Arabidopsis thaliana: one gene and its partner. The protein of the gene in region 1 interacts with the protein of each later gene in a pairwise test. Each region holds a gene or a part of one and is shown in the gene's direction. Other genes may lie near its edges.

What was found.
Region 2: the proteins of WEB1 (region 1) and AT1G66480 interact in a two-hybrid assay, tested with the Arabidopsis thaliana proteins (one study listed by BioGRID).

The regions. Positions count from the first base shown.
Region 1 is NC_003071.7:11,296,763-11,302,937, forward strand, and holds WEB1 (WEAK CHLOROPLAST MOVEMENT UNDER BLUE LIGHT-like protein (DUF827)), read left to right. Parts: upstream 1-2,151; 5' UTR 2,152-2,405; intron 2,406-2,406; exon of another isoform or gene 2,407-2,679; intron 2,680-2,782; 5' UTR 2,783-2,802; coding exon 2,803-3,390; intron 3,391-3,478; coding exon 3,479-5,314; 3' UTR 5,315-5,557; downstream 5,558-6,175. UniProt on the Arabidopsis thaliana protein: Required for the chloroplast avoidance response under high intensity blue light. This avoidance response consists in the relocation of chloroplasts on the anticlinal side of exposed cells.
Region 2 is NC_003070.9:24,804,679-24,809,534, reverse strand, and holds AT1G66480 (plastid movement impaired 2), read left to right. Parts: upstream 1-1,977; 5' UTR 1,978-2,129; coding exon 2,130-2,738; intron 2,739-3,696; coding exon 3,697-3,765; 3' UTR 3,766-4,117; downstream 4,118-4,856. Other genes in the region: AT1G66490 (F-box and associated interaction domains-containing protein), read left to right, coding at 1-114.

The DNA.
Region 1 (6,175 bases):
ATAATTGATTTCAAAATTTATAACACATCTGCTAGACCGTGAGTAATATTAAATTCGAATTGTCACTGATGGTTAGTCACATATGTAAAAAAGTTTGAAAGAGATTTAAGCTATATTTATTGGTTTTAATAAAAAAAAAATTTATGGTTGAACCTCACAGTTACAAAAATAAAAATATATTAAAAGAAAAGTTTTTTTTATTACAAAACAATTTTTTTTTATTGAGCAATAACTTCTTGATGTGAATGTTTTATTGAGCAATATCGTTTTTTTTTGTGGTGCTCTACCGTAAAATTTCGTAATGTATTTTTGGAACAATTGACAAAGAAAAGAATAGAATCGCATATATTATTATTATTTTCCGCGAAAACACTTAGAAATTTTGTGAGCAATATACTTTTATCCTTTCAAATCACATGATTCGACATTGATATGCTGGAATATCTTTTTTTCTCAAGACATGCAAAGTTGAAGTTTCTTCATCATTGAGTTGATAGAATTCTTTGATTAGATAGATAAAGAGATGGAAAATGAAGTTGACACTTTTATTCTCACCCACCAATGTGAAGTATTTACAATTGGTTGTTTTTTGGATCCCAAATTGCAGTTGAAATGATGACAAGAAAAAAAACTGCGGTTGATAATCACCAATCAAACCTATACTATTATCCCTGTATCCCAATATAAAATCAAGAGTTGTACTTGTAATTATATTTAAGTTTGTCTATTTAAAACTATAATGCAAAGAAATGGTTACATTTGTTTTTTTTTCTTATTCTTTTTCACCGGTTACATTTGATTTAATGTAATACTTTTAGAATTAAATAGATCTTGCATTTCATACAAATTTGTATGTTTGAACATTTGCAAAGTGTTATATTTTATTAAGACCAATTGGAACCCAAAATCAATGAATAATTTTGATACGGCAAATCATCAATCTCGAATATGATTAGTAAGTGAGTGAATGTGTACCAAAAATGACACCTTAATTCGTCGTCGTCATCATCTTATTACAATTATCCGATTAGCAGAATTATTATTTCAATTTTTGCTTTCTGAATTTGAATGCTTTTAATATATATATATATATATATATATATAATATGATGAGAGAGAAATTTATTGAGTAATCAAGAAAGATGATTTGCAAAACTAACCACTTTTGATAATTTAATTTAAAATATAAATTAAGAAAATTTACTATTAAGAAAAAAAATTTATTGAGATTTCTCAAACCATCAATCTCATCAATTGGTAAACTACTCTCTCAAGATGCCACGTAGACAAACACTCTGATAGCTAATTCTCAAATGCCACGTGTACCTGCAAAGCTTTCCTACTTCTCAAAACGTGAGAAGGTTTCATTGAGGAAATTCAAAACGTCATTATAAACACTCTTCTTAGTTTATGATCGTCTCCTCTCCATCTATCCCTCACGGGCCTCACCCTTCTTGGTTTATAATTTTAGAACATTAATTACTAGAGTTTATGATTTCTTTCGGTTCTCTAGGGTTTTCACTTCGAATTGAAGCCGATAACATATTAAAATTTAGTCGAAGGACGAAACTTTTTGGTTTTGACCGTCTTGATTAACAAATTTTCTTTTCTTTATATCGTTCTCACATCCGCTATTTTATCAATTATATAATTTTTACAAAGCATATATTTTCAACCGCTAAACCAATCGTTTAAACTGCTTGATAACATTTAAAACCGCAACCGTCCACTTTTGTATACTCCTGTAATTTTATCCACATTGGCTGCGTTTAAACCAATCACACTAAGTTCCAAACAAATTCTTTCTTATACTGAGTATGACCATCGTTTTTAGTTGTAAAGAAACAAATTTTTTGTTTTTGATTTAATCTTACTATTCTGAATTTTTTGGTCTAAAATTCCTTAAATTAAAAAAAAATAGAAGATTTAAACGAACTAAAACAATTGATACAAATTTATTTTCTATTAAACAATATTACATTAAAGATCGAATCCGGGTCGGGTAATGTAACTCAAAACTTGCTTGGTGCGACCCTCTCCACTTTGCCAGCCTCATTCATCTCTAAAAATAAACAAAAACCAGTTTTTTTGTTGTTGTTCAGGTCAAGTAGTTTGGTTTAACTACTTTTTATACGTGGACCAATGAAACACCAAGAAGCCACTAATTTTCTTTATTAAAAACTAAAACTGAATAACAAAATAACTAAAAAAAAAGGAAAAAAAATAAAATAAACAAACAAAACCGAACATTATGAAAGAGAGAGAATGCCAGATGGATGATGAAGATGAGCCGATGAGAGATAGCTTCATGATTTGTCTCCGCGACCGCAGTTATCTCTTTCTAATTTCTGTCTGAAATAATAAATTAAACTTCTTCTACTACCTCCGATCATCATAATCCTCCGGTAAGACTTCTCTTCTCTTCTTGAATCTTCTTGATGCAGCTTTTTTTTGTCGGCATACAACTTTTGTATTTTTCATATTTTTTTTTTCTCCAGCTGATAAACTCAGAATTCTTGAAATTCGGAAACTTTTCATTTTTCTTTGAATTGTAGGAAATTATCATTGTTCGTATTTATCTTCTTAAAAAAACACTATTAAATCCTGGAATTGGTAATTATTTACTCACGTTTCCGAATTTGTTTACACAAAGATGAAAATCCGATGATCTTGATTAAAGTATGTTTGATTCTTGTATACCATATTTGTTTGATTAGAGTAATTTGATCATCAAAGATGTTTTGTATTCAATTTTTTCTCAATTAGTCTTTATGTTTTGTAGCAATTTCAGGTTACAGGGGAATGGAGGACTTAAAAACTGTTGAAGCATCTGATAATGTTGTTAGTGATAATGTTGAGAAAGTCAATCCTGAGTTGATTGATTCCACCATTCGAGAATCTAACATACAATCTGCAACAAAGGTTGATAATATTCCACAATCTCAAACTGACACTGAAGAGACTCAACAATCTCAAACTGATACTGAAGAGACTCAACAATCTCAAACTGATGACACTACCGGCAATGCGAAGATTTATGTCGATGACACGTTTTCGCCTTCTGATGCTGCAACCGCTGCGGTGTTAACCGGAAAAGATAGTACGAGTACAACAATTGTAGAAGAAGTGATGGAGCCAGATGAGATTGGTTTACCTAGTGTCAAGATTACCGAGGCTGCGACGGGTACAGCAAGAAATGGTGGGGGGTCACCTAGAACTGTATCATCTCCTAGATTTTCAGGATCACCGGTGAGCACTGGAACACCGAAAAATGTGGACTCACATCGAGGTTTAATCGATACCGCAGCGCCATTTGAATCTGTTAAAGAAGCTGTATCAAAATTTGGAGGAATTACTGACTGGAAGTCTCACCGAATGCAAGCGGTAGAGGTATTGTACTAACGGATACATTTGGATTATTTCTCGTTTTAATTTGTTGTTGCCTTTCTTGTTCATATTTTCGTGTATGGTTTTGCAGAGACGAAAGCTTATTGAAGAAGAGCTTAAAAAGATTCATGAGGAGATTCCTGAGTACAAAACACATTCAGAAACTGCAGAGGCTGCAAAACTGCAAGTGCTTAAGGAGCTGGAAAGCACAAAGAGACTTATAGAACAGTTGAAGCTTAATTTGGACAAGGCACAAACAGAAGAACAACAGGCGAAGCAAGACTCGGAGCTTGCTAAGCTGAGGGTTGAAGAGATGGAACAAGGAATAGCTGAAGATGTCAGTGTTGCAGCTAAAGCGCAACTTGAGGTGGCTAAGGCGAGGCATACAACAGCGATTACAGAGTTGTCTTCTGTCAAGGAGGAACTAGAAACTCTGCATAAGGAATATGATGCTCTGGTGCAAGATAAAGATGTGGCTGTAAAGAAAGTAGAAGAAGCAATGTTGGCGTCAAAAGAAGTTGAGAAGACAGTGGAAGAACTCACCATAGAGTTGATAGCTACAAAGGAGTCATTGGAATCAGCACATGCTTCTCATTTAGAGGCGGAAGAACAGAGGATTGGAGCAGCTATGGCTAGAGACCAGGATACTCACCGTTGGGAGAAGGAACTGAAGCAAGCGGAAGAGGAACTCCAAAGACTTAACCAACAGATACATTCTTCGAAAGATCTAAAATCGAAGCTCGACACTGCCTCAGCGCTGCTTCTTGATTTGAAGGCGGAATTGGTAGCTTATATGGAATCCAAGCTAAAACAAGAAGCGTGTGACTCAACCACAAACACCGATCCTTCGACAGAAAACATGAGCCATCCAGATTTACATGCAGCTGTTGCCTCTGCAAAGAAGGAACTTGAAGAGGTCAATGTCAATATTGAGAAAGCAGCTGCTGAAGTGAGTTGCTTGAAATTGGCCTCCTCTTCCTTGCAACTGGAACTCGAGAAAGAAAAGTCTACTCTTGCCTCTATCAAACAGAGAGAAGGAATGGCCTCTATAGCAGTAGCTTCTATAGAGGCTGAAATTGACAGAACGAGGTCGGAAATAGCTTCGGTTCAGTCAAAGGAGAAAGACGCGAGAGAGAAAATGGTGGAGCTACCGAAGCAACTTCAGCAAGCAGCAGAAGAGGCTGATGAAGCAAAGTCACTTGCTGAAGTTGCTCGCGAAGAGCTACGAAAGGCGAAAGAAGAAGCAGAGCAAGCAAAAGCTGGAGCAAGTACAATGGAGAGCAGGCTATTTGCTGCGCAGAAGGAAATCGAAGCAGCTAAAGCTTCAGAGAGGCTGGCCTTAGCTGCCATCAAGGCTTTGGAGGAGAGTGAATCAACATTGAAAGCTAATGACACCGATTCTCCACGAAGCGTTACACTTTCGCTAGAAGAGTACTATGAGCTCAGCAAACGTGCTCACGAGGCAGAAGAACTCGCGAACGCAAGAGTAGCAGCAGCGGTTTCAAGAATCGAGGAAGCTAAAGAAACAGAAATGAGAAGCTTGGAGAAGTTGGAAGAAGTAAACAGAGACATGGATGCGAGAAAGAAGGCATTAAAAGAAGCAACTGAAAAGGCTGAGAAGGCCAAAGAAGGGAAGTTGGGGGTGGAGCAGGAGCTGAGGAAATGGAGGGCAGAACATGAACAAAAGAGAAAGGCTGGTGATGGAGTCAACACTGAGAAAAACCTAAAAGAAAGCTTTGAAGGAGGAAAGATGGAGCAATCACCTGAAGCTGTTGTTTATGCCTCCAGCCCAAGTGAGTCATATGGAACAGAAGAAAACTCTGAAACCAATCTATCCCCACAGACCAAGTCTCGAAAGAAAAAGAAGAAGCTTTCTTTCCCCCGGTTTTTTATGTTCTTGTCAAAGAAGAAGTCACATAATAATTGAGTTCAGTTTCAATTCAAACGCCTAATTCTCTTTTGATCTATTGGAGCTTTGTATTCAGAAAGAACTCCATTTGAACAAGTATTGTGGTGTAAATGGTTTTTTCATTTCTTTTCTATTTGTTTGCACTGTGTAAGTCGAGTCCTCCTTTTATCAAAAGAAAAAACGTGATGGGGAAATGAAACCATAAAAGTCATTCATTTTGTACATACTTGTGTATTGGTCATACAAATATACAAGATACATAAAAGGAACATAAAGAGCACAATACAGAGTTGGATGAGGTTCTTAGTTGAAATATCTACGAGAGACTTCGAAGACATTTGTCATTCACTAATTTCAATTTACTCAAATAATTTCAAGTATTTTAATATAGTGAATGACAAGTGTCTTCGAAATCTCTCATAGATATATTCACTATATTAAAATAAATAAAAATATTTTAATATAGTTTGATTATATAATTAAGCTTTAAATATTTTAATTTAACTTATTAATTAAATTATTTAAATTAACTTATTTAAATTTAGTTGTATAAGTCGTATAAATTTATTCTTATACATAAAATCATTAGAATTTTAATGAAATTTTTGATTTTATTAAAGTATACAAATTAAATAATATAATATAAGAATTTATTTCATGTTTTTATATACTAATATATATAGAATTAGTAACAATGTATATTAGTTGAGTTTACGGTTTATTTTAAGGCAAATATCTAATTATACTAAATTAACACTATTTTTTTTATTTATTAAAAAATACGTTAAAGATAACAATTTCTTATTAGTGTATGTAAATTTAAATATGTTTTAGACAATGTAATTAAAATTAGAATGAATCATTTACTCAAGAGTTAGA
Region 2 (4,856 bases), on another chromosome or scaffold:
TATCTCAAATCTGTGAAATTCGGAGAAACTCCTAATGACCGGAAACATAACAACGCATGGAATATTAACTCGTTTATGTTATCTTCTTATGTTCCAAGTTTAGTGCAACTATAAATCAAGCAACGGGGCAAAAGGAAAGAAAGAGATTATTATTAAGTAGTTTCATTTGCTACACATTATTTGTTTCTTGTATCATCTCCTTTAGATAAAGATTACTTCCAGTCAGGTATTAACTTGTGTTTTTCCAATTTCATCAAATGCTTTTGCATATTTTACCATAACTTTTTTTGTCTTACTAGATCTTCCAATTTTGTACCCAACACAAACGTTCACGTACCTGCTTTTACAAATTTTTGCAGTTTCATGTGTTTGAATCCCTCGAACATGAATTTCATTGTGTCATAAGTTATGCCTCGACCAATTGTTGTGAGTAAAGATTTGTCTGAATTATTTCACGTTCTTAACAATGTGAAAGAGAAGCTGACTCGATAGCCTACCAACTCTTTGGATAGTCGCACGAGAATTAAGAACATCAAAAGGAGTCCGACTTGTTCTTCCTTTCGTTCACACCCCCACAAGCAAATCAAGTGGCGGATTATTTAGCGAAATATTTGTCCCATTTTTCATCACATTCGAAGCGATTGTTTCTTAATCTTTACCAGACCCGATAGCCTACCAACTCTTTGACCTGGTAATGCATTTCGGTTGGACCAAAATATTAAAAAACCATAATCGTTGACTTTTTAGTTGATTGAATTCTTAGACTGATTTCTTGAAGATTCAGTGCACGGATACTTTTTAAACAGTGGCACTTACACAGCAAAAACCTAGCGAAAGAATACAAATGGAAAAGACATTTCGATTTACATATTTAGCCTAACTTTTCGTTACATAGTTCAGCTCATAGATAGGGTTAGTTTTGTCATTTGAGTTTACCCACCAAGGGTTAGTATATGTCGGATGCTTTGTTTGACCACTAGCATGCACACCAACACGGAACCGTGTATGTTTTTGCTTTTAATAACTTAGTCACGAGTATACCCTCTTTACAAGCTCCAAAGTTGGTTCTGATCGTATAATTTCATACTTACCAAATGTTAGTTTAATTAATTCTTACGAAAATATTTTCACTTTTAAAAGCTTTTCTTCGTTTTTGTACCATTATGTCAAAATTGGGATTCAAAAATAGATTTTGATACATGGAAACAATGATCTCATATGCAGAATTTAGGACCCTAACTGGCTTTTTTACATGTGCATGCGCATGTGAGGTTTTTCTACTAATTTGCATTTGCTTTTTGCATCTGATGTTTTTCTTCTAGATAAGAACTGATTTTAAGAAAAACATCATTGTTAGAGCCAATATATCAATTTGAGATACACATAAATATGGTCTTGACCGCTCCCTTGTTCCAAGTTTCGAGTAACCACACAAAAAAAAGTTTTGTATGTCTCTCGATATATATATATGTCTTTTATATGTTATTTTCTGATTCGTCGTAGTTATATCGATTAGATTCTATGACACGGTTAATCCAATATTTAGAGTGAGGCAATGATTGGTCTAATTTGGAACTGAATTAACTCATGTTAGGTGGAGGTTGAAAACAGAAACAACCATATTTGTAGTTCTTGTATGAATATAAATTTTCTTCATAAAATCGTTTGACTTAATTATATTTCTTACATATAATACGGCTACATGAGTATATAACAACATAAAACCTGGAAAAATAAGCACAACCATAAATCACGCGCGGTAGTTACAGTCATTCAGATTTTAATATATATGCTAATTTTTTCATCTTGAAAACACCATAACAAACAAACAAAAAAATGTAATCAAATCAAAAGAAAGGTAATGCGAATTTGCCATGGACCGACATATTAAACTTTATTCTTTTAAAACATTATGAATGATTTTTTTCAACGTTAACGACTTTAATTAAAATTAGAAGGAATCTCTGTAATATTTCCCAGCTTCACACACACTAAAATTCAAAAAAATAACATTTTCAACCAAACCTCCTCAACATATATAAATAGTAACATAGCCACTTTATAACACATTTTCACATTATCAAATCAAATAAACAAAAAAAAAAAAAAAGCAAAGCGAAGAAAAAAAAATGGGAAACAGCATTACTGTGAAGAGAAAAAGAGCTAAAGTAATGAAGATCGACGGCGAAACTTTCCGAATTAAAACTCCGGTGACGGCGAGAGAAGTCACCGCGGATTATCCCGGTTACGTTTTGTTAGATTCTCAAGCCGTTAAACACTTTGGAGTTCGCTCTAAGCCGCTTGAACCGAACCAAACCTTGAAGCCGAAAAAGACTTATTTTCTCGTCGAGCTTCCTAAGCTTCCACCGGAGACGACGGCGGTGGATACAGAAAATAAGCTACCGTACCGGAGAGTGATGTCTGGTATCCACGTTGGCGCAAAGGAGCGGTTAGATATGTTGATGTTGTCTCGGAGAACGGTTTCTGACGTCACAATCGGAAGATCTGACGGTGGAGATGGGTTTGGGCCTGAGCTTGGGCCTGGACATACGAGTGTGAGGTTGAGGTTGCCTCGTTCTCAGATCACGAAGCTTATGGAAGAGAATAATAATGATGCTTCGGCCATAGCTGAGAAGATTTTAGGTATCTATATGGAGAGGTCTGGCGAGCTTGGCGGCGGTAGAGGTGGTGTTGACGGCCGCCGGGAACTTGGAAGTGGGGAGATTAAAGCGCGTGAGGTAATTCTTGTTTTTTTACTTTGAGTTTTGGTCAAATAGTTTCACCGCGTTAAATTTAATCTTTGACATAAAAAATTGAAGCGGACATATTCAACTAATTAATCAACTTAATAGAGAATCTATATAAGTGGTACAATCAACAAGCATAAAATGAATTTAACTACTTTGGAGTTGATAACTCAGCTGGTTCAATCTAGAACCATGTTTTTGAGAAGCCGGGTCAGATTCTGAGTTTGAACACGGGTTAATTTAGTATGTTCTACTTCTCAAGTTGAAGAGATTAGAGATGTATGGGTCTCGGTCCGAAACTTCTGAGATTATAATGAATTATTATTAATAATTTGTGTCAATCATCATTTGTCGGAATTACCGAAATATCATCCCGGAATTGCGCAAATAGTTTAAATTTTTAATGTTCCTAAATTGATGTAGAAGGCAAGAAACGGAAGTTAATTCGTTAGGCATTGCTTTGGCGTTGGATTAGAGTTATAAAATTATTATTGTAAGCCACTAATTAAGCCCACTAGGGTATATTTTTGTCATCTACATACGTGAGTATGACGTAAGTAAATATATACAAAACAAATTTACATAAACACACATTTACATGATATGCATGTTACTATAGTCAAACTTTTATCGGAGTAGGAGTGGACTTATAAATGGATTTACAAAGGAATTCGTAAATGAATTCACATGTTCATGAAATTGTATACATCTTTGTCTTAATAACATTGTCGAAGGATATGCTTAGAAACACATGTTTATTAGTTTTTGTAATATCTCGGGGGAAAAAAAGATTAATGCATTATCATATCTTACCAATGATCAAGATCCTCTCGATCATCAAATGATTTATCGGTTTGTTTGGTTAATCATATATTATAAATTAATAATTAAGAGTCAAAGAAGTAATGATATTAATTTTTTTTAATGATATTAAATTAAACATGTGCAGAAGCAGGTGAGTTTCGCCGGAGAAGGTGGACGGGAGCTTCCTGTTCTATGGAGTAGAAGTGGAAAATAATCATCAAATATTCAAATAGACAAACTAATTCTCTTTTTTGAACCCCTTTTATTTTTTTTCTTATATGAAGTTATTGTGGTAGGACTCATATATTATGTGTATAAATCTCTTTTATCTAGCAACTAGAGATTATTTAGAATTGTTTGTTTTCCTTTACGTTAATTAGTCTTTTCATACTTTAAGATATAAGAAATTATAGAAGCTAATGGACATGGTTGGGTGCCTACCCTACCAGTTACCAAATAATCAACGATCGTTATATTGCAATCAGCCTTTTTTGATTAAAAAGTAGGACCCTAAAAAGTATTCCCAAAATGGTTGGATTTTGAAGAAGAATAATCTAAAATGATATTGCCTTTAGAAAGTTAAAATTTTTGGGCAGTCCACTAAACGAGACTCGTTCTGCTGGTTATCCGTTATGGCTGTAATTATTGATACAAACTGATACAATAAACGATGAAGGTTTAATATCTTGATTAAAAATGAAATGATGAAACCGTCAACTACGTACAACTTAAAAATCTAACAAACGATTTTTTTTGTACTCAACGTTAAAAATACACACATATGTAAAGTAACATCACGCCTTGTACAGTAAAGAACCATAAGAAACTATTCAAACTGCGTCATGATAAAATCTATGTAGACTACTCAAATTCACGATATTTAGCAATATATTTTCAAGATTGTAACCCTTTAGTCTATTGCCATAACTTGACTAACAAACACTTCCACACAACTATTGAATTTAACTAGTACACTTTTTTCTTCTCAGTATGACTTTTTAGTGATTTTGCAAAATTTGGTTGGAAAGATGCGAGTAATAACCAAAATGCCATAGTTTCCCAGTTAGAGGAATGCTCATAATATTTAGTCTTCTACTAAAGCATTCCAAAACTATAATCATCAAACATTTTCAGGATAAAAGAAAAAGATTTTTGTTTTGATCTACAAACTATTTTTGTTTGTATGTATCATTAACATATCAACTCTCTTAGCCTTTTCATGGGTGGAAAAATCGATCTTCGCTTTCGCCATTAAAAAAAGGGAAAGATATGGTACATAGAGTGCTTTAGGTGCACCACTCTCCC